Drosophila melanogaster: one gene and its partners. Changing the gene in region 2 together with the main gene of any one other region gives a genetic interaction. Each region holds a gene or a part of one and is shown on either strand. Other genes may lie near its edges.

Evidence for each region.
Region 1: of Buffy (region 2) and Pten, changing one suppresses a phenotype caused by changing the other (phenotypic suppression), as found in Drosophila melanogaster (one study listed by BioGRID).
Region 3: of Buffy (region 2) and hppy, changing one suppresses a phenotype caused by changing the other (phenotypic suppression), as found in Drosophila melanogaster (one study listed by BioGRID).
Region 4: of Buffy (region 2) and Lfg, changing one suppresses a phenotype caused by changing the other (phenotypic suppression), as found in Drosophila melanogaster (one study listed by BioGRID).

The regions. Positions count from the first base shown.
Region 1 is NT_033779.5:10,254,904-10,264,746, forward strand, and holds Pten (phosphatase and tensin homolog), read right to left. Parts: upstream 6,147-9,843; 5' UTR 5,951-6,146; exon of another isoform or gene 5,682-5,950; 5' UTR 5,351-5,681; intron 5,085-5,350; exon of another isoform or gene 4,788-5,084; 5' UTR 4,673-4,787; coding exon 4,573-4,672; intron 4,511-4,572; coding exon 4,338-4,510; intron 4,271-4,337; coding exon 4,126-4,270; intron 4,013-4,125; coding exon 3,825-4,012; intron 3,754-3,824; coding exon 3,646-3,753; intron 3,495-3,645; coding exon 3,332-3,494; intron 3,271-3,331; coding exon 3,161-3,270; intron 3,091-3,160; coding exon 2,875-3,090; intron 2,814-2,874; coding exon 2,492-2,813; intron 2,220-2,491; coding exon of another isoform or gene 2,215-2,219; exon of another isoform or gene 2,007-2,214; intron 1,604-2,006; coding exon 1,584-1,603; coding exon of another isoform or gene 1,550-1,583; 3' UTR 1,416-1,549; downstream 1-1,415. Other genes in the region: CG5676 (uncharacterized protein), read right to left, coding at 1-111, 175-367, 818-912; Rsf1 (repressor splicing factor 1), read right to left, coding at 7,913-8,515; REPTOR-BP (REPTOR-binding partner), read left to right, coding at 9,305-9,361, 9,646-9,730.
Region 2 is NT_033778.4:11,676,588-11,683,931, reverse strand, and holds the start of Buffy (buffy), read right to left. Parts: upstream 4,441-7,344; 5' UTR 4,346-4,440; intron 1-4,345. Other genes in the region: Tret1-2 (trehalose transporter 1-2), read right to left, coding at 6,034-6,218, 6,279-6,564, 6,621-7,344; Roc2 (regulator of cullins 2), read left to right, coding at 5,567-5,726.
Region 3 is NT_033778.4:19,176,231-19,183,497, reverse strand, and holds the start of hppy (happyhour), read right to left. Parts: upstream 4,761-7,267; 5' UTR 4,626-4,760; intron 4,000-4,625; 5' UTR 3,766-3,999; coding exon 3,640-3,765; intron 1-3,639. Other genes in the region: CG10737 (uncharacterized protein), read right to left, coding at 6,509-6,557, 6,755-6,910, 6,975-7,082, 7,151-7,267.
Region 4 is NT_033778.4:12,873,240-12,880,115, forward strand, and holds Lfg (lifeguard), read right to left. Parts: upstream 3,728-6,876; 5' UTR 3,552-3,727; coding exon 3,533-3,551; exon of another isoform or gene 3,051-3,532; coding exon of another isoform or gene 3,023-3,050; exon of another isoform or gene 2,969-3,022; coding exon 2,862-2,968; exon of another isoform or gene 2,843-2,861; intron 2,786-2,842; exon of another isoform or gene 2,705-2,785; coding exon 2,603-2,704; exon of another isoform or gene 2,541-2,602; coding exon 2,034-2,540; 3' UTR 1,925-2,033; downstream 1-1,924. Other genes in the region: Balat (Beta-alanine transporter), read right to left, coding at 1-1,041, 1,100-1,415, 1,579-1,691; Nmda1 (N-methyl-D-aspartate receptor-associated protein), read right to left, coding at 4,416-4,775, 4,834-5,082, 5,146-5,471, 5,813-5,852.

The DNA of each region.
Region 1 (9,843 bases), on a different chromosome or scaffold from region 2:
TGGACCCTCTTCATCGCCAATCAGTTTGGTGTACCATTTCGCCACTTTCTTGCCGTTTCGGGTTAGGAGGCTTTCAGCTCTGTCTAATTGATTGTCGACATATCTTTCGGTCTGCAAATTGAGTTCAGCATAAATATAGTAAGCATATAGATAAACGGTTTAAATGAATTATACCTTATCCTTCCAGTTCTTCTCACGACCCAGCGAGGCTTCCACTTTATCGGCGAGCTTATCCACGCTCTTATCCAACTTAGACCAATTTATTTTTATAAGTCCTTCTTGGTGGGCGATTTCGAGCAAGATTATGCTGCCGCCAACTGCAAAGGCAGCAAATTTGCCTATTTTCATTGTCGTATATCCTGTGACCCTGAAAAAATTGTTATATTTTTAGTAAGATAAGATACACAAATTCCAGCAAATTCTATGGATTTCCTTAAATTTGCAACTCATCATTTGGCGCATATACATGTATAGTAAATTGCCGAGTTATCTAGCTTATCTTGTGCAAATTATATCAGTTTTATCTGATTAATAACTCATTTTATTACACTATTTAGTTCTTTTCCTTTTTAGGGAGGTCCTATATTTCTGTATCCCGCAAACAAACAACATTCATTTATACACGTATTTAGAAGTACATATTTGCAATAGATGGAGCGGCTAAGCATTCAGTTGTATATTTTAATTAAAAACGTATTCTGCAGTTATCTACCAGCTATTACCGAAAGTATGCAAAAAATCAATTTACTTCAAATTCCAAAGACAATCGGCATTGCTAAAAATTTAAGTGATGCGCCGCAATGATATAACCACATACCATCCTGATGAAACGCCAATAAGCATCTGCGAATATGCTGAACGTTGGCCAATATCGTTAAAAACTTTCTTAAAAATTTCCGAATAATTAGTCATTTTTAAAATTAGATGTCGACGTTAAGATGCGAAATTCTGACCGCCCAGTTTACGTCAATTTAACACAATAATATATGCCCGTCAAGATAGCGTCAATTTGGACAACATTTTTGTGTTGGGTTTATTGGAACTCGGAAGTGGAACATATGTTAGGGGAATTATGGGAAAAAGAGTAAGAAAAATAACTGGTAGCACTTAACGTAGAAACTGGAATAATCATACTTTGAATATTTATTATTAATCTGATAATTACCTTTGTGAATCCTGTATGCTTTGCACAACAATTGGCAAATTTCAAGAACCTCTTATTATTTATTTATCTTAGCTATTGCCTCATTTGAAACTATTAGTTAAATTCCAATAAAATATGAGATATCCATTTAATCGCTGCACTTTTCGTGTCGAAAACTAGTTTCGAGATCAAAACTATAAATTTAAGTATTTTTTTCTAAACGTCAATTATTTCTCCCCCCTTACTTTAGACAAAAACCCAAAGTTCGAATGAAATCTACAATACAAAATGTACATGAGTTTATTTAAAATAATTGTTAAAACTACTTAAATAAATATCATACAGTATATTTACAAATTCGAATAGATTAGCCAATTACTTAGCAATTTTAATTACTTTGCTAAATCACCAAGAATTATAAGTCCGTAATAAGCATTGATTACAGGTATGTTGATTCACCTGGAAATAAAGAAAAATATTCATTTATTAGTTTAGATTTTTTTGCTCAAACAAGCTTAATGAATTTATTAACTAAAACTCAACGAGAATACGATAAAAATCAAAATAGCATGAATGAATTAAAAGCAGAAGACTTTTGATGATGATGAAACACACAAAAGACACATTCTGCTTCAGGATATTTAGTTTTCAACAGCAACAGTGAAATAGTCGAATTAGTCGAAGTTCGACAGTTCGGTGCTAGTTTTGTTAAATGAATTGAGTAGAAGGACAATGGCAGTGCCCAGAGTCACATACTTATGAAGCGGTGAGGGATGTGTGATGAAAATCGATGCGGATACTGATTAAGGATTGCCGGTTAGTTGACCATTCGAGCCGCAGGCATGGGCTCCCACTCACTCACCTATGTACATTAAATTCTAAACAGATGTGCAGAGCGCAGCTGTAATCGATCGTTTCCCCGTGAAAGGAAGTGGATCTGTGTAAGCCTGTCTCTGCTAGTATACTCGTAAAAGTCTTGGGGACATATAAATCCAGTTCTGGTGGCTTCGTTTTATACATCAAAATTAAGAGATCGTTCAGCCAGAAGTCTTTTAAATCGTCTCGGGTGATTATTCTGGCGAATTCAATAAGTCAATAAGAATATAAATGTGTGGACGATAGCATATGTCGATAAAGGCTATCTCTTTTAACAAATCTTAATTTGAATACTCATACAATACAATTAATTACAAAATCAAACCGATAATGGTCCAGAAATCAATTGAATCGAAACTCTTAGTATTAAATAAATGTGAAATTAGAACAATTGTTCGGTATTACTCGATTAAAACGGATAGATTTTTAGTGAGATCTGGTCATTGAGAGTATAGTGTGCAGCAAACTCACCGGATTCCCAATCTTCCTCGCCATCTTCGGTACCACAGTTGAATTTTGGAGAGGATTGTTTACATGTGATGTATGAATTGTAATTGATGTTCTTATTTTCGTTTATACTTCGAGTGTCAGAGGTGATATGAACTTCACTATTCTGCCATTTGATTAAATCAGTTTTCTTAATGGACGGTTGATTAAATATATGATTTCGTTTTATTTCCTCTTTTGTGGAATCATTCAAGCTTGGTAAAAGAGTTTTGCTATTAGGCTGTTTGCGTTTGCACGCAGTCGAAGTATTTTTTGAATTGGTTGATGTGTCGTATTGAATTTTAGTCTACGAATATTAGATTTATAGATTAAGCATATTGATCGGCGCAAAACGTGTTTTCACTTACAACTATATCCTTATGATCCAACGTTTCTATTGTTTGACTTTTCGTTGTATTATCATTGACGATCGCAGTTAAGACTTTTTTTTCGGCATAGCAGTTTGGAGACAAACTGTCATAGTCTGATCTTTCGAAATTTAAAACATTTTCGTTTCTCTCTTTTTCGGACGCTTCAGCTTGAACATCATTGCTAAAATTCTCTGCCTCAAAAACGATTGAAATCTGAAAAGAGAGCAAGCACATTTATTTGGTAATTTCGCAGCATCTATTAAAATGCTTCGAAATATCCTACCTTGAATTCTTCTGAAAATCTTTTATGTTCACTGTCTTTATGTACATCATCGATTTCTGATTTGCTTAAAGTGTGTATATATTTGTTAACTGTTCCATCGGACTCGCAAGCTAAAGAGAATGTTTAATTAAATCGTTTATTTAATGCATGTGCGATATTAAGTATACTTACGTGAATAGTTTCGTACAAAAAACGTATTTAGCCAAAAGTGACAAATGATTTTATCTGGGGATTTTTTTGTGAGTTCAAATTTTACATCGCCGGAAACTGGTATTGATGGTTTAATGGTCAAAACAAATGATTTTTGAAAATCAATCGGCAAGGTTTTCAGTCTCTGCAATTATAAAAAAAAGAAGAATGTTACTGCTGGTTAGAAAGGTATTCGAAAAGGAACACTTTACTGCACTGAAATCGTGTGAAATATACATTTTTAAAATGCTGTCTATAGTCTATCAATGATGTATCTATATACTTTATATACTTACATCTGGCTTTGCATTTTCTGTGGCTGAGTCGTGTAATACAGATATTGAACATTCTACCATGCCTAAGTTTTGCACACAACTGGACTCCGAGAAGCGTATTTCACATACCTGAGATACAAAAAATGCATATTTAGATTTTGTACGGCGCTGAATGTGGCGCTGCTGCTGGAAATACTCACGTTAAGGCTTACTTTCGAATATGGAACACTTGAACAAACTAGTTTGGAAAAATACTGAACATATCGACGCTGAGATGGGATTGTCACACCTTTTCGGTCCTTTGTACGCTTCTCATCATACCACGCTAATGCCTCGTCGGCGGATTTTTTAATTCCACTGAACACTAAATATGCGCAGATCATGGTACCTGAAATGAAAAAAAACTGGGTTAGTTTTTTAGCCCTACAAATATCGAAACAAGATCATAGTGTGCCATGATATTTATGAACTTTCGCACAAAATGTTGAACACATTTCCTACCGGTTCTGCCCTTTCCAGCTTTACAGTGCACGGCTACAACATTGGACGAATCTTCCTTGAGCCACATATCAACATCACTGCAAAATCGTTGTATTAACTCAATCGTTGGAGGGTTATGATCATCGAACGGATAAACAGCTACTCTCTGTAATGCGAAATAGTATATTTTACATATTTTACGCCGACAAATAGAAAAAGTTCAACAAAATTACCCCGCGAAATTTAGCAACGTCGTAACTACGCTCCGAGCATAGGTTATAGATTTTGTAATGCTGGGCATGATTCTCTTCCAATAGCTTAAAGACATCTTCCAGACGGTTTCTGAATAGGCCCTCTAGTTTATCCGGTGCTGGATAGCCCATGGCAATTATGTTATCATTAATGTCTGTGGGTAAATAGATAATTTAATTTAATATTCCAATGATTGCGGTTGATTCAATAACTTACATGTTAAATCCAAATCGTATCCTTTTTCTTTGTATCGTATACGTTTTTTACTCACTACATTGCGTATCACGTTGGACATTAACGAAATAGTGTTGGCCATATTTTTAAGGTTTAAAGACTTGTCTTTTTTATTTAAATTAGATTAGCTGCATCCATTCAAATGTATTTGGGAACCAGTGCTTGTCTTCTATTTACTCCATTGCAAAGTGTACGTTCTGAAAGGAATGTAAAGCATATTAATTAATATGCATATGATTCTAACTAATCTGTTTATTTTCCACAGCAAGTTAGAAAAGTATTGACTCAATTCAGCTTAGTTTTCTACTGCGAATTCAAACCTAAATCCTTTAACAGCAGACAAGTTTCTAATATGGTCAATAGAAACTGCTTAATTATACTGTGCCAAGGCATTCTAAAGGGATATATGGAACTAATATAATGGGCTTGTTTTCTCCCGATCCACTTAGGTTGTTCTATATAAACTAATACTTCTTACTCGGCTAAGATATATTCCTGTTTGCAGTTCTTGCTTGGATACATATTTAAGCACGTACATACACATACAGACAGAGGTGCACTCTCTATAGGAATAGTTCCCTACTTGTTTTCCCAGGAACAGGTAAAGAGTTAACTTCAGTTCGGTTTATATATCCACAAATATCCTTAGCACAAACATGCACACACTCACACACACTCGCACATGCACACGCACATATGTACATACACACACACACACACACAGGCAGGCATTTGCGGCACACACGTGAAACATACTTACATGTATCGGCATATTATCAAAGATAAACAATATAACAATCTTCCGCTTGGCATAATACATTCAGATTGGTTGTCAAATGGTCCTGGTTTTAATTGTAACTGGCTAACAGAACAGAGTTCTTTTATTGAAGCCCAACGCACGGCGATTTCGATACGAATTCGAGCAATTAAATGGGTTCGTTGGCTGAGGGGGCGATTTTCGAGGGGTGAAAATCAAAATCAAAATCCGTTTTAGAAACACCGAGCAGTAATTTCGAATTACTTAACATAGCGACTGATTTGGCAACTGTTTTTTGTTTTATCTCGCCGAGTAGACACACTTTTTTGACAAACTGTTTGCGAATGGTGGTATGTATTGTAGTTAGAGCACATATGCATGTACAGAAATATGCAGATATGGATGATGGGCATGTGCACATATATGCACCGATTTTTGTGCATTTATGTACATATTTGTTTAAACAAAAACATATTTACAATTCCACAGACATTTTACACATTTACACTATCAGCACCACACGAATATATGTGCCCACTGTTTAATACATATGTATGTATGTGCATATGGGTATGTTTAAGTCAATAAGCTAAATGTTCCAACCGAGCAGGTTCTGGCTACTGCATTTCAAAAAGCTATCACATGTTTTGCTCTAAGCCACGAAATTTCAAATAAAACTTTTCAATTATGTGTAAAAGTTAAACAGTAGCGCTCATGCTCTATTAAATGTATTATTAATTTATCAAGCGTGAGATCCACAGGGTGTTTACGGCGAGCGATACCACCACAAGATTTGAGAAAATGTACATCCAGTGCTATCGACGTGCGTGGTGCCCTCTCGATTAAATTGTGTATGCAAAAACTATCGATGGGTCATCGATACAACCATTTATTTTTTAGCACTGCGGTTTTAAACAATATGTAATTATCTATGCATTTATTTTAATCTTATTAAACAACACACATATAACTTCATGCTACCAAAAACATGACTACCAACACATCTTTTACTCGAGTTCTACCCACGAAACTAATATTGCTACAGCTATTAAAAATTCCATTTCTTGCAAAACCAATATTATTTTTGGTATGCAATTTTTTAAAACGCAAACATTTTTAAGATTTACGAATACCTTTTATTTATTTTTTTTTCCAGCCATTGAAATGCTATTGAAAACTATCAGTTTGGGTAATACCATTAATGTAATCCTCTCTTTTTTTATTTACAATCGATAAAAGTGCAACAGGTTTTTTATGGGTATTCGATTATTTTGACATAAATATGATTGGAATTTAAAGTTCCTTTATTCAAAAGCAAAACCTGCTATCTGAATAATTTAAAATTTTAAAAAATTTTCAAAACTTTAAAAATTACACTCGTATCTTAAGGCTAGTTGGTTTCCGCAAAATGAATTCTTGGTACCACTTAATTCTCAACTGTTGACTTTAATTCGTAACTTGAATAAATCAAAATAGGCCAATCATCAGTAAATGTTATTGAAGCAAAAAGGACTCGAAGACGAAGAAATAAAAACAAGTGTTTTGCCGTGTTAACCAATTTCTCATTTATTTGTCTCGCTTTTTATTTGTTTAAAAAGTTTCTGCAGTCCATCGTTTAAATATTTAATAGCCCCTTGGGCTAACTAACTAATCGTCGTTATCATAAGTATTGCTTAGCTATGTTTTGAACTTTAAGCAATCTAATAAATCTGAAAGTGACGTTAAGAGATACTCCAACAAATGACCTGTTAATTTAGTTAAATGAAATAAAACATAAACATTAAAACCGATGCGCTTAATATAGTTGCTTGCAGCATTGGCTAGATTTTTGCCGTTTCGACCCAACTACAATAAGTTATAGATTTGTATAGTATTTGTCTTAATAGGTAAAAAGTTAGATCGATGGATAGTACACATGCAATATTTCTTACCAAAACGTAAAGTCAATGATTTGTTTGTAAACACTTGGCGGTTATTGCTTTTTAGGTTTTCGAGATTCAGAAAACAAAGCAGATTTTCGAAAACGCTTTCTTACCAGTTTCGGACTGCTGACTGCTTCATTTCGTAGGGTTTATTACGATGGTTATAAGAGGTTCTGTAAAAATGAACACCTACACAATTCCGAGTTCTCAAAATTCTTTAATGTTTTAGACCAATTATTTTGCGAAAGCTTTTATGTATACGAGAAACTGTTCCGCATTTCCTTTATTAAAATTGCGTACTTCTAGATTTTGGTTTGACGTTGTTCGAGTCTTAGCGTATTTTTCTTACTAGTTTTCTACGTTATAACTTAAATTTTACGTGCTTGCAATTGTCATGTTAATGGGTATTCGTTAAATAAATAATGAAGAGACGACGACTATCAGTTTTTTGTTTTTTCTTTTTTTTTTATCATTCTGTTGTTGTTGTTGATGTGGGGGAATGAGGGAATCTGTTGGACGATCGAAAACGATCGAATGCTACGATTTTAAATGTTTGAGTCTGCGTTTTACGGTCGCGCTTAAGTTATTATTTATTAATCTTTACTCATAGGCAATCCTTAAGCAACTATGAGTGGTGTTGTCATTAGAATCGATGGTTTCCCACCGGCGAGCGGGACCTGAAGCGTCCGGCCGACTGACCACCAGTGCGTCCGTAGCTGGCGCTACTTCCGCTGCTGTAGCGGCTGCTGTCGCGTCCACCGCCGTAAACCTCGCGGCGATTGAAGCCGCTGCCGCCGCCCTCTCTGCCATTATAGCTGCTTGCACCTGATCGGCCGGAGCTATAGCCCCGCTCCGTGTGCCGGCTTGAGGATCCGCTGGATCCGCGCTGCCGGAAACCGCCTCCGCCGCTACCACCGCTTGTGATGCTGTGCCGGCCAAAGTCGCCGCGTCGTCCGCCCCTGTCCATGGGTCCGCCACGCCTACCCTGGCGTGGCCGCCCTTTTGAGATCTCCACGCGCAGCTGGGAGCCGAGCAGCTCGGATCCGTTCAGTATGTCGCACGCCTTTTCGGCGTCGTCGCGGTGCTCGAACTCGACGAACGCAAATCCCGGCGGATTGAAGGCTATCCACACCGAATTCAGCTTGCCATACTTTGTGAACTCCCCCTCCAGATCATCCTTTTTCACTTTGTCGGTCAGATTGCCGACATACACCCGTGTCCCGCGCTGATCACCCATGCTGGACATCTGGATTCACTGTTTCTGATTCGTTTTCGGAGTTATCCTGCAAATCGGATAGCTGCCTTGAAAAATAAATAATCAATAAGTTATCACCACCGGACAATTTAGCGTTTGTATCTATATCAACTTTTCGACCAGGGTGGTTAAACTCGTTGCAAAAATGCTAATTTTCAAAAATATCCTCGCATTTGGAACACTGAGAATGGACGTGTGTTGGGATGTATTTATAGTTTAACGGCCCCGTAAAAAGGGACTTCCCGCTGCTCTAGTGACTTGTATTTTTAATTATTTTTATACTTTGTGCTGGGAAATGTATCATGGTAATCTGAATAATACGTCAATTTAATTTATATAATTTTATAAATATTTGTATGATCTTTAGTAAAGTAAATAAAGTAAAACAATATATAAAATGTTTGTTAATATATAGCCGTGTACTTTTATATTTTCTTCAAACCCCAAATAATGAATAATTATATTGAACATTTATTAATTATTATTTAATTAATTTATAATTTAACTATTATCATAATTTAACTATTTAAATATAATGACTATTATCATTTTAAGTCATTAAAAGAAAATTTGTTACGATTTAAACTTTATTTATATTTTTGTTCTTAAATATAAAATACAAATAGTTCCCTTAATGTGTTCCATTCCATCGTTTCTGTTAAGATATATTTCGATTGGCACCTTTGTGTGTAGTGGTTTTGTTTATTGTTACCTTGAGTATTTACGAAAGACGCATAATAACAAAGAGTTGCAAAGTTGTTGTATTATTTGAGAGTTATAATGGCTGATATGGAGATACAGAGCAACAAAATGTCAATAACGGAGGAAACACAAGTGGTAATATATTATTAAATATAAAAGATGTGGTCTTTTTGTTTGAACATGATCTGAATTGTTCTAATGCGCAGTAAGGCCTTGCGTGTATGTATATACACATATATAAGCTATCTTCTGTGTATGCGTGTATATACATATGTGATTTTTATCATGCAAAAGCGCCTATTTTCAAAAAAGATTTTAAGTTTGACTTATCGGAACTAAATTTTTGCGAATAAGAATATTGAAAGCAAATTGTTTTTGGGATATCGTCAAATATTTACATTTTATATTATATTTATAAGCAGACGCGCAAGGAATGTGGAAAAAGGGGACGAAAACCAGGAAGAAAGACGTCTACTGAAAAATTGGACATGAAAGCCAAACTAGGTAAGAACAACATTAATTTCCACTTATAATACTTAAACAACGGTATTATTTTTAATAGTAACAAAGTTTCCAAACACTAATACATGTTATTTCCTATGGAATTTTATATAACG
Region 2 (7,344 bases):
CGGTTTTCGTATATGATAATCCATCCATCTGGCTGGCTGACAGTTGGCGCTTAATGGGCATGAAAATCGCAGCCAATTAGCCGTTGATTTCAGCCGCTTTTGCTCGATGGGTGGCCAAAAGTCTAGAGTTACAAGTTAATTACCCATTGGGGCTTCAGGAGATACATACATACATAGGTATTTCGGAATTTGTTTGCTAGCTGGGTGGCATTGTGATAAAATGGTCATCGTGAGATTCTTCTAACTTAAATAGTTGAAAAAAAATAAATAAATAAACAAAGACTTTGTTGTGTGATTTTTTATATTTAAATATTCTATTACTACTTCCGTAACTTTTAACTAGTTCAAATACATTTCATTTGCAGTTTTTCGTGGCTGCCAAATGAAATTTGTTGCGCATTATATAAGCGATCATTAATATATTTTGAAATTAACTTTCCATAACGCAAACTGGCCTTTTAGCACTTTTCGTTGACCTAACCCAAGCGTAGATGCATTCCCACACAGCTGAGATCATCATTCACAGCTCGACGAGATGCCCCCAATTGCATCCCCATCTCCACTTTGGGGAATGTGGCGCGATGTTTTTACAGGCTTCGCCAGCGATGTTGGCTAATTAATAATCCCAACGCGTTCCGGCTCGAACACAAATAGATTTGGTGGGCCAATCGGGGTAGGGGGCGGAATCTTGGAGCTTGCAGGCGAGGCTACTTTGTCTTTGTCGCCTAAATGGCAGGCAAAATGTTTGCCGAACATAAATTAATGTCGTCCCCAACTGGCGCTTAAGTTCGTGTTCGATTTGGCCGCAATCCGTGTACTCCACTCTATAAAGTGCAGTCGATGTAAAGCTCCCCCAGTTGCCACTCATTTCTTTCGCCAAAGTGGCGGCTGCAATTTACACTCTTCATTCAGCATCCAAATCGGCCGAATGGGTATGGGGTCCAGTAAGTATGTGTGTGTGTGTGTGTGTGTGGACCTGGCCTTAACAATTTTGATGTCTGCTTAAATTACCGACTACTTAGTGCCCAGTTTAGCAATGCCTAATAAATATTTATGAGCGCACTTCATTTTAGCCAAGTTTCAATGGACAAGCAAAACGCAGTTCTATGAATGGATATCGATGTTCATGACTGGCAATCGTCGATTTCGCTGCTCATTAAAGGAGTCGGCACAACTCGAAAGGTTTTAAAAGGGAGCAGATCAAGTTAATTAAAACATTATACTTAATCAAAACGGGAGCAAGCAACTCATTTTTTTAGGTTTTATTTCAAAGTTCAGTGCAAGAAAAACGAGAATTTGGATAGAAAATCTTGAAGCTCAAACTAAACTCCTAAAAGATCAAATGTATAACGATTTATGATAATTGAATTGATGTATGTTCTATAGTAAGAAAGAAATTCTTTATATTAAAAAATCCAATAATTAAAAATGAAAAGAACTTCGAAAACCATAAATTTGAAAACATGTCATAATCGTATGTCATATTTCAAATGCAAGATTATATATAATACTTCTTAAACCACGAAACATAAAATGCTTAGAAAATGTATATATGTACATATATGATCTCTTTCTTGGTTAAGCAGTTAATAACTTTTATTATTTTTAATTTCATTTTTAATATGCCTGAACTTTAATTTGTATACCTGTATTTTCATAAAAATACAGCAATTTAAAGGAAATAAAATAGCCTTTTAACTTCTAGACAGCCTACCCATTTGATAACTTCTCCCTCGGCGATTCAACTTAACTATTTGCAAATTAATTGGATTACACAAGCTGTTATTTATTTATGCACAATTAGTGCAGTAAAACTGCTCTCTCAACACCCAATTATTAATGCTTTCCGATTGGCCGGATCACAAAAAATATAACTAAATCAACAACTCGGAATCGGCGAGTTGCGCGCACTCATTAGCAACTTTTATTAGCCAAAAGTGTCAAATGCTTTATCTCGGGCTTGGATTGGCCCAAACCGAGTTGCCTTAAAGCGTCGCCAGGCATTTCATTTCATTTCATTTTATTTGATTTCATTTTTTGTTTTGCCATTTTTTGCCAACCTTATTGGCCGCTCGACTCGTTTTTATGCGTTTTTAGCATTGTGCGCATGTTAACATTTGTGTTATTGATTTTTTACAACATTTGACAGTTACGCAGACTCCGTATTGGAATTTCGCATATCTTTTTGTATCTCTCAGTTTGTTTGCTTGAATCAAATTCGCGGAGCGCATGACAAGCGATTTGGAGCAATTTGACTTTCGACTGCTGATTGGTTAATCAAATGTGGGTTCATTAAATTGCCATTTTTTTTTTTTTTTTTACATTTAATTGCATATTTGATCGCCGGACCGAAGTGACAGCGCATAGTAATACTATATCATAAACGACACATAAAGTGCTTGCAAATAGCCGCAATCTTGCGGTTTTACTGCTTTTTGTTGTATTATTATTATTTCATTATTTTTTGTTGTATTATTTGTGGCCATTCGGCTTGAAATGAAAATGGGAAATTAGCAGACGGTAAAACGCCTCTGTTTGACATCGTTTGCAATTGGAAATTTACACCATCCTCAGACGTTACAGGTGGCAAACATTGTTCAGTTCATTAATTGTTGATTTTGCACTTTTTCAACCATTCAGCCGCCAATGTGCGTCATTCAAATCGAACGTGCACGGCGTTAAAGCCAAGTTAATATGGTCTAAAGGGAGGGGCAAGGGGGCGCAAGTGCTTTTCGCCAGTTAATTGCATTTACTTCTCGAGGCTTTGTGGCATCGGGGGCATGAAGTGATCTTGTTCGAAATCCCTAAAACATTTGCACTCATACTTGGAAAATGGGTGTTGCAATTGAGCATTTATTGGCATTTTTAAACATTAAATAAACACACTTTTGTGATGGAATTTGGTTTTTAAATATACCAGATAGTTACTTTTGAAATGAATTATGACATTCAAATCTTGAATATATGTACAACCTGTTAAAATATGCTTTCTGAAATTTATATGTACATGTTCGAAACTTTGCTATAGTTTCACATGCAAAATTTTAAACACTTTTGTATATACTCGAAACTGCTCTAAATGAAAATTTACTGGTAAGCTGTGGAAATTTATCGATCTAGCTTATAAGGAAAACAAAACTGCCTTTAAGAGTTTGATTTTATTTTTTAGCGACTAGAGTTCCACTTTATACGATTATAGATACACCCACAAAGTGTCACATTTACCATCGATATCTCTGAGATACAACACCCCCATATGTACATACACATGTACATATATCTATAATTTTCGCTTAAAAATCATAAACAATTTAACCGAATAGACCCGGTAAATCAAAGTGTCCAATGCCTTTGTCAATAAACATTTGTCGTTCCACTAATTGCCAGCGACCAACTTACAAACAAACAAACAAACAGAAAAGCATGAAAAAACAAGAAAGAAATAGCAGAAAAAAAACCAAAAATCATTTATGGCAAAGTCAATTGCGCTAGTGCTATCTCTTTCGCGCGATGTGGGTGGAAGCATTACGTTGATTATCCAGCAAAGCCAACAACAAAAGCAACAACAACACACTCACACACGCACACAGAAAACAACGAAATTTAATTAAATTAAACTTGCTGTTGGCCTGTTTCTCCTTCAGCTGCTACTTCTTTATTCCGGTTAAAAAAAAGGGCGTTCAACTCAAGGGTTTTATTTTGCAATTATTGATATTTATCCGTATCGCTTTTGACACTCATTTGTGTTTAAGTCTACGAAATGACCTTTATCTGTTTAAATTTTCATTATTTGTTACTTCCACATTTGTTTGCGGTTGTATTAAATTGCACATTTTCATTAGCCACAGGTGATATTTGCTCTTAATTGGCATTTAACACGTCGTCATTTTGTAAGGCTTATGTAGATTTTACATTTGCTATTTGAAAATTTATTGCTTACTGTGAAAAACAACTAATTTCTCCACATTTATTTACTAAAATACCACTCCCTTAATCGGCTTATCGCACATTTGGCATCGGATCGCATTGATACGGGATGTTTATCTTTGATTGTCGGATGCGCCATTTGTGCTGATAGTGATAATGGGTCATTTGCCATTATCTTTTTCAATTTCAGTTTACGATGGGCGAATAATAAGGCTGAACTGTTAGATTCCGGCTGAGCGGCATGGAAATTACTTAATTACTTATGCGGGGCGCGTTCTGGTTGGCAACGGAATCGGAATCAGGTTGCTGTATATTCACGGTCAGCTTTTGTCGTTCGAAGGTTTTCATTTTAAAGTAATCACCGGAAACCGCAAATAATTTATATTGTCAAATTTGTGTTAGTGCATTGGAAACCAACCGTTTATTTCCCAACGCAAGCTGAAACTTGAGAAGCGCGGCCGAAAAACGCTGCCGCAAACGTTCCGCACTCGTCGAAGGCTGAAAATGAATTGAACCGAAGTTGAAGTAAGCGAAAACCAAATCACAAAACAAATTAACCGCCTTATCGATATTTAATTATCGGTCGTCGATAGGTGTGTCCGTGCATATAAGGTGAATGTATCCCCTAAATGGCTGTGGCAACACTGAAAATAGTTTTCCCTTGTTTTGGTGTGGCCACACTGACTTTTGGCTTGCTATTGTTTACATTCAATTATTTCGACTTCTTATTTGTTGGTAAGTCAAACCGGCGGTTCCTTATCATTTGCCCGAAACTAAGCAAGAAGTAGGAGTGAGGTTAACAACTTAACGAACACTGTGATAACCTTTCCTTCGTATACAACTGAGAATGGCATTTCTTTGTTCTCGGAGGAAGAAGTAACTTTTTGGCAAGTTGAGCAAAACATTAAAATTCGTATCAGCCACTTGCTACGAAAGTAAATTACATTTTTACCAGGGATAAGTGAGAGGCTTTATAGTCTATCCCCCTATTCCGCAGCTACCAATATTCATAAAACAAAAAACAATCAAGAAGAATGCGCTTAGTCGAATGGCTCAACTATCAGATACCCGTTACTCTGTTCCCTAATACTAATATACCGTTTGTTCGTAGAATTATCGCCACCAGTTGGAAGGAAGCAACACCTGTTGATCATTTTTGAACTTTTCTACTTGTAGCTCTCCTACGCCTATTAAGCATATTTTTCGAGTAATATTCCTAATATTTGTATAATTACCTTATTTAAAATCCTAAACCTGAGTTACGTACTGATGTCCGGACCTGGTTAGACCACTTTGCCATTTGCTAATAATCAATAACTAAGATAGGTCCGGTTTAGAGTTTCTAATACCCTATAAATTAACAGTTAGAAAAATATTTAAAAACGGGGTCGAATAAAACTTAAAATTGTTTACCAAATAAAAATAAAAACATAAAACATTAAAGGGAAATTAAAAATAAAAGAACCTTAAAAAATTAATATATTGTATTGTAAAATTAAAAAACATTTTTAAACCGCTATTTGTAATACTAATTAAAATCTCCCATACAGGAGGATATACACAAGAAACAAAAAAAAAATATTAAAAAACCGAATCTCATTAGCCCAGTGGATTGGTCAGTTTCCCAGACTTTTTTGACATGGCTGATGATCCAGAAAACTCAGTGGATAGGCCCACAGACGACGGAGATGCCGGCAAACCGGAAAAAATGTTTACGCTGAAGAAATGGAACGCAGTTGCAATGTGGAGTTGGGATGTGGAATGCGATATCTGTGCCATTTGCCGTGTTCAAGTTATGGGTGAGCAATACCACTGATTTCAAAACTCTAATCTTGAGTATTAATAATAATAAAAGGTCCTACATATGTAACAATATGTAACTAGAATATTATTATACTGGTGTCTTTGTTAACACTATCTTGTGCATATCGCAAGCGAAAATGTTTTTTACTCACATATACATAAGTGCCTAAAAACTTTCAATTGGTGTATTTTTCAACGGTAATTTTGATTTATTGCGCTTGCCTAAAAATTCACAATTTAAGCACGAAGACACCACCCTACTATTTGGTTTGAACGCATCTCAGATCCTTAGCAACACGCCATTTACATGTTGAAAGGAAATGGCTTGATGTTGACCACCGAGGACATGGGCACACGGCCCATCATCTTTCGCTCAATTTCCTCCAACGACTTGCCCCGCGTTTCGGGCACAAAAATAATCACAAAGAACAGACCCACGATGCAGATGGCGCCGAATAGCCAGAAGGCTCCATGCGCGCCCATAGCAACTACACACAAAAATATTAAATATTATTACACCACTTATTTTAGTTAGTTGCACTACGCACCCGTGAGGTCCTGGAAGGTCTTGGTTACCACAAACGTGCAGAACCAGTTGAAAGCCGTGACCACCGATGCAGCCGGTCCTCGAATCTTGGCTGGCAGAATCTCACCCATCATCAGCCAGGGAATGGGTCCGAAGCCCAGGGAGAATCCCAGAATGTAGATAACGAAGCAAGTGAGTGGCAACCAACCCAAATGGGACACATCCGGACCATGCGCCTTGCAGTAGAAGAAGCCGCCCAGAATGGACAGGGTCACGATCATGGCGATGTCGGATACATACAGAAGAATCTAAAAATTACGATTAGTAAACAATGATTTTCATTTATATGCATCTTTAAACCCACCTTTCTGCCCAACCGATCAATCAGAATGATGCCCATAAACGTAGCAAAAAAGTTAACTACACCCACGATGATCGTGGAAAGATTGCTATCAATTGTGGATCCCGCATCCTTGAAGATCTGGACCGTGTAGAAAATAACCGCGTTGATACCGCTGAACTGTTGAAAGAACATCAGACCCAAGGAAATGGAAAGTGGCTTCAGATTGTTTCGCTTAAACAGCTCCAAACAGGTGTTCTGAGTGGCCTGACGATCGGCATCGGCCTGAGATTGCATCAACTCCTTTAGTTCGGGCTCCACATCCGCCTCCTTGCCACGCAGCCATTTCAAAGCCTTCCTGGCGCGCTCTTCCTGACCACGGTTCACAAACCAGCGCGGAGTTTCGGGGATAATGATCATCAAAATCAGGAAGGGAACGGGCAGAGCAGCTCCCAAGAAGGCCAGCATCGACCAATTCATAAAGGATCCCGCCACATAGCAAACCAGGATGCCTATGTTACCAAGAGCGGTGGGCAGCAAACCCAAAGTGCCCCGCACTTCCGGCTGCAAAGTCTCACCCAGGTAGACGGGCAGGGATAAAGAGGCAATGCCAACGCAGAATCCAGTTAGGAATCGTCCGCACAGAATCATGATCACATTCACAGCACACGCAATCAGCAGTGATGATACGATGAAGGGCACCGCAGTGGCCAGGATGGTGCTGCGCCTGCCCAGATATTCGATCAAG
Region 3 (7,267 bases), 7.5 Mb from region 2:
GCGTAGGACAGAATTTTGGAAATTCAGAGAGTCCTCGTAGAAACAATGACAACATTTTCGGCAAACAAAAGGAGCGGGGGGAGGGGGGCCGGCGTCATGGAACTGAGCTTTATGTTTAGCAGCAGAGCCAACTGCAATTGCAATTGCAATTTGTGTGAAAACCGAAACCAAACAAGCAGCAAATCAGCAAACATAAACACATACTGTCAGACAGACAAAACGCATTGAGCCACGCCCACTACCAACACACACACACACACACACACATGCGTTGCCTACGTGACCTCCTTAAGCGCCCACCGCCTCCCGTCCCTAGCCACACCCCCTTGCCTTGCCATCACTTTGCTGCTACAAATTCACTTCACTTCGTTCTTTTCTCTAGTAATTTTCTCAAAACCTTCCTACATCCCTCCTCCAACCTAAAAAATAAAAAAAAAACACAACCACCACCCACTCTAGATGAGAGCTTTGCGCCAATTTTTTCATGTTTTCATGCGTGTTGCGTGCACAACAATAACAACAACAGGGCAAAAACAAAATAAAGAGCCAGCAGCAACAACAATGACGAGGATGATTGTTAAAGTGTGGCAACAACAACTACAATGGATGGCGAAGTCAAGTGCCTGGCAAAGGCAATCACACACACACACAAACGAAAGCACACGCATAAAATATGTATGCGCCTATGCACTAGTATTTGTGCCAGTTTTCATTGCATAACGCTAGGTAACCTGGCACTTTTCCTTTTGTGCTCCGTGAAAAGCACAGAGTTCACTATTTTCATATTTCTGTTATTTTCTTTTACCCACTTGCGTTTCGCTCTCGAATTTCCGGTAATGAAAACCCGGTGCAACAGCAGCACCTTCCTCTTGAGTCAAAGTTTTTCCCGTCTTGAGTTTTCCCACCCGCCATGTCAGGTGCCATTTATACTCCAAGTTTTTCTCCAGAGGAATACTCGTACAAATTAAAAACATTGCAATAACTTTTTATATAGTGCATATATAAACATGCATAAAATAACTAGAAGTTAAAATAAATATTTTTTAAGAATATTGAATAAGGGTGAAATATGGAAAAAAAAAGAGCACAGTTAAATAAACTCGAAACAAGCACGTAATATTAAACTGAGTCACTAGTCAAAAAATTATACTTTAGTCTTTAAATCTCACTGAAAATATAAATATGTACATTTCATTTATCATCTGCATTCGTTAAATTGAACATCTAAATTTGCATGTCAACAGTCCAGCAAGACTGAATCACATAAATTTTTAAAGCTCCACCCATTTTCTCCAGCTGAACATTTATTTGCGGCGTTGCACTAAATTTTTGGATCATTGTGCCACTAATAAGAATCAATGAGTGTGTTGTGGGGTTAGAAGGGGGTGTGGCATATGGGAGGAGGTGGAGCAAACAAATTGGAGCAGTAGAAACCCAATTCCATTCGTAATAGCCTGTCAACAGGGCGCATTGTTGTTCATTTCGCTGTTATTATTTCTATTGTAAATTGATATCGCGAAACGAGTTGCGAAAAAAATGAGAGGAAAAGCGAGCTTTTCGATTGCCCTGCACTTCAAGTGCTCGATGTGTAATAATGGTTTAGCCAAAAACTTATGCGGAAAACCAAACTGCAAATTATCCCCAAAACCGATTGTTTTCATTTGGCGAACTTGTCGCTTGTGTAAACAGAATCGAAATGCCATCGTCTCCTTTCTAGATGTGTGGCATCATAAATTCCCTTGACAACCAAATACCTCGGTGTGAAAATAAATAAAAAAAAAACCGAAGTAAAAAGCAGGGGGAACGAAAGAGTGTAAATTGCATGGTGGATTGAAACCGAAACCATGGGCTTTGGACTCATGGCATGACGCATCTCATGGATGGAACATGGAGAAAAGATACAGAAAGCAGAACGGAACGGGCTCTAAAAAACAAAAACGAGACACAATCAGATGGCAAAATGAGTAGAGGGCCACAAAACCAGATGTGGGCAAACATAAATAAATAAATAAATAACACATTCGAAACTAATCCGAATAATCAATGCAAGCGCGTGGCTGCTTATCGAATAAATTGAAGTGAGGCAAAATGAATCAAGTCCCAATATCAGTCTGATGAGCAAGAATAAGCATAATCTCAACAGTCTTACGCTTTGATGACTAATAATGATTGCCTGAGTTTACAGAAAAACAAGACTTTAGTCAACATAAAACGTTATTAACAAAAGCCAACCAAAAAACTGCACATATTGTTTAAAACCTAAGCATTCAAATTAAGCGAGTCAAAAACCATTCAAATGTCGTGCAGAATTGTGGTGCACATTATAGACATATTGATTTCATTGTGCGCTGTCAAACCAAGTTATCAATATGCCAAAGCAAATTAATTAACAATTCTCTCATTTTCTACAAATTAAAATCTATAAATTACGATATACTTAATATCGAATTTCAAAAGTGCACAAACTAATTGAATTCCCATCTTTTATGAGCAATGTGAAATTTAATCAATTTCAATTTCGTCAAAATTAATCGAATGGAAAACGTTCGAAAAGCTGATGATTTATAGATTTTGGGTTGCCAACTAGAATGCAATAAATCGAATTGGGGAAATCCCTCGAATTCAAAGGCATTCCATATGGAAAATGAGGAACTTAACCCTTGGTCTGCACATGAGAAATACCATAATATCTCCCCCGATATATTCCCATATAATCCCGCCCCTGGCAACAACAATTGCAACGTGCCACGCCCCCCCGCCCAAGGGCAACTTCTCTGGCGTTTCGGGGCATTTGTCATACTTCCCTTCGACGGGCAGCAAGAGTAAACATGGAAGTTGGATGGTATAAAAAGAACGATCCAACAGAGAAGAAGATGGAAAACTAAAATTGCGCATATTTTTGTTTGTGGCGGGGCGAGGGGTTTGGGGGAAGGGGGTGCTGAAAGGGATGTGGAGTGAAGGGGGGGTGGGGGTAGTGAAGGAATGAGAAACATGCTGTGGCAAACAGATGTACAAATGAGGGTCTGCAAGTGGGTGGCGGTGGGGAGATCGAGGGGGTACATGCACTCTTGCACTGGAGCAAAAAAACATTCCTCCTTTATGATTTAATGCGTTCTACATTTTAACGCACATACAATTTTATTATTTATGTGGCGTGGTGAGCAATAATGATACTCCACATTGAGATATGTAACTAAATTCATTTTCTATAAATGCATAACGGACTAGAACTAGTTTTACCATATGGAACACATTCAACTTTAAAATTTATTCTTGATTATGTGTCCAAAAATTATCCAATAAGAACATTATTCCTAGGTTTTGCAATCCAATGAGGCAATAGTGTTACATAATGTGTGATGTCTCTTTATTGAACAGAAAACTTCCTGATACAATTCAAAGTGAATTAATCGAATTTGAGAACTGTTGGATAATTTTTTCCTGTGCAGACGGAATGCAAAAATTGCAGTGAGGGAAACTATAAAAACTTACGGATTTTTGGGGAAACATTCTAAATCCAAAGAGCACACTTTGCAATTTCTTTGCCTTTTGTTTGCTGTTGTTTTTATTTAGAAGTTTTTGCCTTTCCCTTCCTAATACCACTTTGTACTACAGCTAAAGGCTTCTATTTCGACTCACCTTATAGACGTCGCCGTAGGTTCCCGAGCCAATCTTTTGGATGAGTTCGTACTCGTCCTGCGGATTTCGGCGAGAGATGTCCGAGCTGAGCATATTGGCATTGTGGTGACTGTGGGCGGCGGCCATCTTGGCAGCTTCCGTATCCGTATGCCGTTGCCGTTTCCGCTTCCGCTTCCGCTTTCGGTTCGAGGCGATCGAGTCCTTTTGGCTGGACCTCTCTTTACTGGGTGGGTATACTCTTAATATTTGATTGACACTCTTACTCTTGACGCTGCTTTATTCGTTTTTTGGGTTTGACTGATTAGCACACGTAGCAGGCGAAATTTAGATACTTTTGTGGATCGAGATGCATTTTGGACGCTTTGAAATACACACAATTACGTAAGGTTAACTGGACTTTTGTATATTATGTATTAAACATATACATTTATTTCATATGAATCAGATTCTGATCAGAGAATTGAATTGATACACACACGAAACTAGAGAATCGCGAATTATGACGCAGAATAAAAAAAAAAGCGATGAAAACAAAAATCAGCAAATAAAGCAGCAACAACAAATTTGATAAAGGCCAGGGTGGAGAAGAAGGTGGAGAAAGCGCGGGGGTGGGAGCGAGAGGGCAAGTGAACGATGTCTCGTTTTTTGTAATCCCCTCTCTCGTTCGCGCTCTCTCTCTTCCACTGCATATATTCTTTATCTTCTCGTCTCCTCTTCCTTGCTTCTCAATGCATTTGCACTTTAATTACTTTTTATTAGAATTTATGAAGGCCACTTTTGTTTTTGCCAGCGAAATTGCCTAAATAAATAAATAGTTGCTGTGCTGCCGAGTAAAAAAACACGCGACAACAAAAACAACAACGCGAGGCGTGTCGCTTTGTCGCCCGTTCGTGGTGTTGTTGTTGCTGGTGTAAATACTACGTTTATTATTTTTTTTTTATAATTTTATTCCGATTTTCGCTAAGCGCTAGGTGAGCACCACAAACCGTTCACATATTACACCGACACGTGATTGCGGGGCAAATTCGGCCAGTGGATAATTAACAATTGTCCTACGAACACGAAAAATTTCACATGCACTTCGTCAACGCGCAGCCCACAAATGTTGTTGTTCCTCTCACCCCTCGCTAGCGATGGCACTCTGCCCGCGGGCCTATCGATAGCAGCGCTGGTCGTTCGGCGGTGGCAACTCTGTCGGGCTGTCGTTTCGAAGATATCGATATTAGTTGGCCAGAAGGGGTGGCCAGACAGGGGAAATTTTTAAACTGCTGAAGGACATTCGAAATTCAATAAAATGAATCATTGAATCCACATGAAAGTACATTTAGTAGCAGCGTTAAAGGAATACATTAGTTAAAGCTCTCAAATCTACTTCAATGTTTCTTTAGTTATTAATTAGAATGTCATACAAATGATTTGTCACTGTATTGCCAATCAGCAATGTTTTATAGGAACTTCCCCTTAATCTTTCCTACGTTACTAAGACCTAAATCAGCCACAAACTGGGAAAACTCCTTTGTGCAGACCGCCGTTCCCAACAACAACAATTGGATCCTAAACTCGAAACAAGTGAAATGTTTAATATCTACACGCAAACTACTGCCAACTGCTTTCCGAAAAATATCCGGTATTATTAGTGATCACAACTTTATTGATTCACCGAATTTGTTGTTTAATTTAAAAAAAAAACCCTAATTCACTTTTATTTTGTACAATTATTATTCGTGTTTGTAGAAAATACAAAATATCAAAGGGCTCGAGCACGTTGACACGGAGAAATGGGTTAAAAACGAATCCAAAGAACTTATTGCACATGTGTGTGTTCGCGTGAGTGTATAAATAAATAACGTAAAATGTATCGAGATGTTCCATAGCAGAAGAAGATGGTTAGCACAGCTCCTTCCTTCACTTCTATGTAACTAGGGTATTATTTCGATTAAGGTTTCTCGGCTTGGGGCTGTCTGGCTTGGATTCCAGGGTATTCCCCATATTCACAGCTTCCGTATGCTGCGATCTGCCGCCGCTGAATTGAGTTTAGTTCTGTGAAAATAAGAGAAAAACGAACGTTAGATATATCTAGACAAGTGCAATATCAATGGTTAACAATTGGAAAACAAGCTTCAAACAGTATTAGGCCGAATCTGAACGAATTAACTGAACAATCCTCAGAAGGAATTGCATTAGTATGGATCGCAGTGCGATCAAAACCGAACGAGAGTGTTAATTTAGTACACAACACAGTGGAGCAGAACGAGGAATTTCATGCGAATGCGTTGCCAGCTTACCCCGATTTTCCAGCTGCCAAAGGGTCAACTGGAAAATGCGCGAACCACACAAAACTGCAGCAGAACGGATCTAGAACCCTGGAGTTTTTTCTATTTTTTGTTTGGTCAAATCGAAGGAGGATTGTGTAGGTTCTTTTTTAACTATATATATGTATATATATGGCGTCAGAATGAACTCGCACATCGCTTGGATAGCACTTAAGAATGGTATTTAACTGGCTTTAAAGATGCTGTGCTGTGGCTGAGACCTTTCTACTCCTCACTGGCCATCCTGTGTCCGTGTGGGTGGTTTGGTTGTATTTCGTGTGAGGGATGCGATGAGAAAAAGAGCTCGAATTAGTGCCCAGAAGTTATATTACACATAATGAAACAGCGTGGCCAAGCGAGGTGACAGTGCGATTGGGTATGGGAGGATGCTAGCGGAAGCCGGAAAACGAAGCCGAATTTTCCATTTCTGACGCCAATTCAGTGGAGTGAGTAAATCAAAAATTGCTCTTGGTAAATATCAAACTGCATTTGGCGGATTCAAGTTGTTTACAAAAGAATAAGTATTCAGATAGTTGGATTGGTCACAAAATAAGGATTTAGTTAACTAGGTTTATATCTCTCTCTGTGAGTACCGGAAATGACGTTCTGTTTTATTTATTTTTTGTTTCATTGGGTGGGTGTGCGTATTCGTGTGTTGTGTTGTGTGTGTGTGTGGAAAGAGAAAAATAAAACGAAATCAATAAATTAGTATTGGGTATTGGTTAGGAGTTTGTAATTCCCTCAAATATCAAAATCGGGCAGAGAAAAGGATGAAAAGCTGACGGAGATTCAGGTACACTTACAGTTCCATGGAGAGCACCGTGGGATTGGGACATGCTTGTGGTGCCCGTATGTGGCACTGCTTGTGACTAATCAGCTGGCAGTCGCGACACTCGTAGCCCTGCTTTCCGGGCCTCCGCGGGATGGACTTCATACAGATGGAGCACTGCAGACCGCTTCTGGAATGTGAAAGGATTCGTTAATTATATTCAAAGCAACTAATGCTTACTACTTTAAACTTACCCGCTCAAATGCTTGGCGATGAAGGTGTGATCGTTGTAGATGTGCAGCTTGGTGCCCTTGCGACGCCAGCGCGGTCTCTGGGCGATGGCCAAAGGCACAATGAAGTGGCTAAAGATCATGCACATGAAGCAGTTCCATCAGAATCCATAAAATGCAAACACTCGATCGAAACTCACCGCTTTATGCCATTCTCGATGGTCTCCAGCACCAGGGTGGAGGCCTCGTGCACGTAGGTTTTATTGCTAGCCGAGGAAAAGCCTGAGATGGCCGAGGATTCTGAAATTGAGGAGCGA
Region 4 (6,876 bases), 1.2 Mb from region 2:
CACTATAGGTCCCACCATGGATATTACCGAGCTAAAGCTCATGCCCAGTCCTCGCACCACCGTGGGATACAGTTCAGATGCCATGAGCGGCAAGACTACAAAGGACGAGCTTATGCCCATCTTGCCCACGCAGTAGAGCAGCAGTGTGATGTCTGGGTACAGAAATGTGGCCACGCAGGCGACTCCGCCCACCAGCATCGATATGAACAGGATCCAGCGCCTTCCGAAATAACTCAATCCCGGCCAGAGTAGCAAATATGTTGGCAGTTCCACCGCCCCAGCCAGGAAGAAGTTCCAGATCTCATCGCCTCCTAGCGCAGGAGCATAATAACTCAGTCCCACGTAGACACTGGTGTTGGCAAACCAAATAAGGGTTATGATCAGGGTCTTCCGACGCATATTGGGTCCCCGAAACAAGTCCAATATCCCATAGTGGGTGGTCATTGAAGATTTGGTTTCCGCAGCCCTTGTGATGACAAGTTTTCGCTGCAACCGTTCCACAAAATCCCGATTTACGCGCACACCATTCACTCTGGCCATTACTTTGAGAATTTTAATGGCCCTCCTGGTTTTTCCCACGGCCATTAACCATCGTGGTGATTCCGGAAGCACGAAGAAGCAGGAGAAAAGCATCAGCAAAGGCATGGACACTGCCAAACTGAGTTCCCGCCAATCACGTACGATATAGATAACTCCGGCTAATACCACCAAGCCCAAGGAGTAGGCGATATTCGAGACGATGGTGCAAAAAACTCTCCTCTCCGGTCCCACCAGCTCAATGGCCAGTACATAGGGACTCGCCAGAATAGCTGGCACCGTCAGTCCCACCACAAAGCGCAGGCCCAACCAAGTGTAATAGTTCCAGGCAAAGGCACTGGCCGCACAGGCAATGATCTCGAGCAGCAGATAAGCGTAAAAGGATGGCCGCCTGCCCCACAGATCCACTAGATATCCAAATACATAGTTACCTAGCAATCCGCCAACACCGAAGACCACAAGCGCCAAAGTCACAAGGAAGCTGCGGTCGCACACCAGGTTCCACTGCAAGATATATGAGGAAATAATTCTAACATACCATATCCAATTGGAAAATCCCCACCTCTTGAACCACCGTACTTGAGTATATGGACTTGTCGTAGTGCCAGCCATGTTGGCACGGCACCACCTGCGTCGTATCCGGCTGCAACTTGAGCAAATCCTCTGCCTGTTGTCGCAACAAATCCGGAGGAGGTCGATACTCAAGATAGCGCACTATATCGGTGTAATTTCTCGAGTACATGGAACACTCGGCATAGGCTCCATTGCGATTACGCGGAATGCTCAGGTTCTTAACAAGCTGCACATAGTCCTGCGTCCAGGGCTCCAGCTCAGGAACGCGACAAAAGTGCTGAGGTGTGGCCGCTATGAACAACTGGCTAGAAAATAATCATTTTAGATAATTATGAAAATTTTCTGATGAGGTACCTTTAAGAGGCGAAAAGGTAGACCCCAAATGATGCTATCGCATGGATGTGAAAATCCCATTAAGATTTCTTTTTCAATATTATTATTATAGAATACCAAAGAAGGATGACCAACCTATATGCGTGGAAGGCACAGGGCAGCGCGGCGGGCAATAGAACGGAACAGATGATGACCTTCTGGTAGAGACCAAAGGAGCCCACCTCCCGCAGCACCTCGTCGAAATCCATGTCCGCCCGTTAGCCAGACGCTCGCGCAACTGACGATCGCGCCGATCACCTTGTCCACATTCAATCCAGTCCAGGAACTGGTGGCGCTGCAGGGGCTGATTGAACATAATTACATTACGGCCTCTCGTGCGCATTAATTAATTGGACACCGCGGTGTGGACAAGGTTCGAACTAGTTGAGCGCGCCCCAATCCCAGCCAAAATCCCAAACCAAAGCGAGCACTCGACAATGTTGGATTAGTTAGTCGTCTTGTATTTCTTTCCGGCTAAGGTGGCACTGGGCACATAAAATTAAGTTACATTTCTAAAACTGGAATAGAAGCTATGGATCATAATGACCAGTCTAATTGCGAGACAATCCGATAATGGTCAGTATGTACATGAAGATGTTAATAATGTCCAGGTAGAGGTTTAGAGCGGCGAAGATGTATTCCTCAGGACTGATGGAGTACTTATGATTACCACCCAGCATCAACTGGGTATCGTACACCAAGTAAACGGAGAAGAGCAATGCTCCCAAGGAGGCATAGACCAGTCCGATCACCTTGCCCGGTATGAAGATAGCGATTATACCAAAAATGATGAAGACCACCAGACAGGCCACCAACACTCCTCCGCACATCGTAAAATCGTATTTGGTCTGCAGGGCAAACAGGGTGAGTCCCAGGGCCACCGCGGCCGTAATTCCCACTGCCATCAGGACCTCATCAGCCTCAAACTGTCCGGCGACCATACCCAGAAGGAACGACTCCGCCACGGTGAACAGGAAAAGAAAGATGAAGTTAAGAGGCGTCTTACGGCGTACACTTTCGCAGCAGGCCATACAGATCATGGTCACGATAAGAACGGCCTGAGTTTAAAAATTGGATATATTTGTATTCAATATTTAGCATAAAAGTCGTAAAAACTTACCAAGGCTATCCAAAACAGTGCCGGATTTTTTTGCACCCATTCCTGCGAAGCTTTCGAGAACGTAAATACGCTAACAAAACCGAAAGTGATCAGCAATTGGCACTAGAAATAGAGCGCGATATCAAAATTAGATTGCAGGAAGTCAATAAATCTTGAAGTTTTAAAGTGACCCAAAGCAGACAAGTAGTGAAGCAAATACCTTTATTTTTGGACAATTTAAATTGATATTTTCTTTTTCAGTTCAAATATCAGCACTTACCATCAATATCAAGTAGACCTTTCGAATAAATCCCTTCCGGATGCTCTGGTCATCGAAGGCGAAGCTCTTGTCCGCTTCCGCATCTGTGTATGCGCCAGTTTCATCGCCTGTGTGGTTGGAAGACAATTCAAGGAAGCAGGAAAGTTAATGCAATGACTAACCGTACTGAAAATGATTGTCGCTGCTCATGGCTAAATTGCTATGACTAAACTTTAGTCACTTAAGTTACGGTGCTCTCTTTGCCCGACTGCCGGCAGCGTGCTAGTGTTTCAGCTTAATGGAACCGAATCGCCCTTTCTAGGTGTTCCCATATGGACGTATGAGTTGAGATTAGCCGGTTACCGGCTCTTATCACAGCCCCACACTTCTACTCTAGATAAGATTTGTGTATTGATGTCGGTGAGTAACTGATATTGCCACCATACAATTTCAAAATGGTTGTTCACTCTCCCTTCGATTGGGTGAATCACTGTTTTTGGGCTCATAACGAAACCTTTTCAGCTGTCTTATCAGATGAAAATGCGCCGAGAGAGATATATTTTGTTGGCTCTTACTGAGAGAAAACGATGCAGTCAATAAGCTTTATACAATAGCCAAATCGATTATCTAATCTAAAGCACCTTTCCGTAGCCAATTTGGTTTGGTTTCAGCCCAATCCGGGCGGTACTTACCTTGCTGGTAGTGATACATTTTATAGCTACGCCCTGCTGGAATTCACACGAACTACTGAACAGGTGGCCGGGTCAAACGCATGATATGGGGCCAACCCGAAATTAAAACACCCGGACTTCTTTCTGTGGTGGTGCAGATAACAAAGTTAACTTAAGCAATGATAAAGCAAAAATGCAGACGATAATGGTCTGGAGTGTAGAAGTAATCCAACCAACGGCGTCGCTCTGAAGTCGCAGACTAAAGTTGCATCTGGTGGTGGCTGGCTGGTTGAACTGGATGAACCACTGACGGAAGCCCTACAATGCAGGGGTCTGTGGCTTTAATAAATAGATGCGCTTTATTGTTGACTTTAAACTCAGTGTCGCTGCAGGGATTACAATGTTCGGTACTTGATTCATAGTTGAAAATCGGGATTCCTTGGTTATTACACACGGTTAAGTTTTATGTGTTAACAACTGCAAGCCAACTTGCTTATATGTATATTTTTACATAAATATGTTTATACGTGACTATTTATTGTTGTTTCGTTTATCTGAATGGCATATCATTTGGTATACATACATATATATAATTTTTTTATTTTTAAATTTGGAAATATCCACTTGGTTTGCGCCTCAACTTAAGCAACAATAAAACATACATAACAAAAAGTAAGTAGTTCATATAGCCTTAGTTGACATTTAGAACTAGAAGGAAACGGGGAAAATGGGCAAACACAACACGAAGTAGATAGATTTGTAAGTATTTGAGTAATTCGTTAGTTGAAGATTACCTCCACTGGGGGAGCACACCGATGAGATTACGCGACAACAATATTCGTGTATTCCAGGTTACTGAATAACCCGATTAAGCTGCAAACAATATTTGGAAATAGAGCGGAACTTAGTCGCGCGATGCGCCGATTATAGTCAGAATGTACATGAAGATATTGATGATGTCCAGGTAGAGGTTTAGTGCCGCAAAGATGTACTCCTCGGGACTGATAGAGTATTTGTGCTCGCCGCCCATCATTAACTGTGTGTCGTAGATGAGATAAACGGAGAAGAGCAGCGCTCCAATCGAGGCGTACACCAGTGTTATGATCTTTCCCTTTACAAAGATGGCCACGATGCCGAAGATCAGGAACACCACCATGCAGGCGATCAAAATACCGCCCATCATAGTAAAGTCGTACTTTGTCTGCAAGGCGAAGATCGTTAGGGCCAAGCAAACCGCTGCTGTTATGCCCACCGCCATGAGAACCTGGAAAACAGATATCGTATCACTTTACTACATATCGTAATTAAATCGAAGTACTCACCTCTTTCGGAGCATATTTGGTTGCGGAAACTCCCATTAAGAACGACTGAGCTGCTGTAAACAGACCCAAGAATATGAAGTTCGTCGGTGTTTGGCGGCGCACACTTTCGCAGCAAGCCATAGACAGCATGGTTACTAACATTACGCCGAGGGCAACCCAAAAGAGCCACATGTTATTCCTGGCAAAGGTTTTAGTGCCCTCGTGGTATACAAACAGGGCAACAGCTCCAAAAGTGACGATTAGTTGTCCCTAATGACACAGAAATGATAACTTATTGTACATGCCTTCTATGCAGAATTATCTAAAGCTCACCATTAGAATCAGGTACACCTTACGTATGAATCCGCGACGGATGCTTTGGTCGTCAAACGAGAAGTTCTTGGGCTGGCTCTCCGGATCATCGTAGGCTCCGTAGCCGCCAGCAGATGGTGGTGGTTGGATAAATCCCGGCTGGGGAGCATAACCTCCCGGTGGAGGCCCCTGTCCGTAGGGCTGTGGATAGGGTTGAGCACCTCCTTGTGCATAGGGTGGGTAGCCTTGCGGCGGTCCTTGAGGTGGATAGCCGCCCTGAGGTGGATATCCACCATATCCTCCCTGCGGGGGATTACCGCCGCCATAGTTGTACTGCTGGTTGGGATCTGCGAAATAAGACATCTCGTTTTAGTTTGTCATCTAAAACGGTGCTACCAACGCGTTCGCTACAGCAATCTGTCTACCAAGAACTGTAAAATCTAAATGAAACGCTTCGCCGTGACGAAGAGATGCGGTAAACCAAGAAACAATCTCGAGCAAATATGTACATACAACCATGATAAGAAGGGACAAGTACGATGTGTAAAGAGAGAGAGGTAATGGAAATGAATCAGCTCTGGGCAATTACTGAGCATTCAACGGGTCGACAAGCCCCGGGACGAACAAAAGCATGCGATCAGAAAACGGGTAAGCTGTAACACTCGCTTAGAAGTTAAGAAGATTGAACCTTGGTATTGGGGATACTGGGGAACACTTTGCCAGGACATTCTCGAGGGACTTCGCTCTGATTTCTATGTAATTCCGAAACCGCTGTGGAGTAAACTTAGATCCAAAAAGAATGTGTTAGTACGGCTTGTCCTTATTCCACTCACCTTGCATTGTTTCGTTGTTGTTTTACCTGCAAAGACACGATGATAAGCAATCATTAGCTAATTTAATTAGTGTCTAAGAAATGTGCACACCTTTGGTGGCATGCAACTTTAATTATCAATCAATTTGCCACTATAGTAATGCCTGAGAAACTTCGGCACCGTTTCGTTTGTTGTGGCCCCCATGACGTGTACCTCTCAAGCTTTCTTGTGTGGGTTCTCTGAAAATAGCTGGGGCCATTTATGAACCTTACCTACACGCTGAACTGCGAGCTTAAGCGCTTTAACGTAGTCGCAGCTATTAAATTAGTTCAGCCGGAGCACCACCAGCGCAAATAATACATACACAGCAGCTCGGTGTAGGAAAAGTGGTGACTCACTTTTGGAAATTGCCAGCTTCTCGAAATTACCGGGAAACCACACTATTATAATTTTCTTTGACGTGACCTACTATCTTCCCATTATTCAAATTATGCTCTTTGGATGACTAATTACCTCTGGATTACGTTGCTATTTGATCAAAACAAACAATTGAATGTTGTTTTTCTGAATATTTGTTTTTTTTTTTTGCTATAAATTAACAGAGATGTGCCTGCTGACTGCTATCGGAACGCAGCTGTAATTATCGATGGTGGTGTAACTAATTTTTTTAGAAAGTGGTACATTTACAGACTACATTAAACTCGGCTTAAACATTATTGCGTTTAAATTTTATTTGACACGTACCACACTATGGCGCATTTTCTGTAAATTATATACTATCGTTTATATATGTTTAAAACATACAGAGTATTGTAATTAAACTAAGAATGCTTCACCAGATGTTGAGAAATGCTACAGATGCTTTTGTTTTTTAAGCTTCTCAACTACGGCACTTCTGTAGATTTTCTTATGCTCATTATTTTTGAGATTATTCTGCACT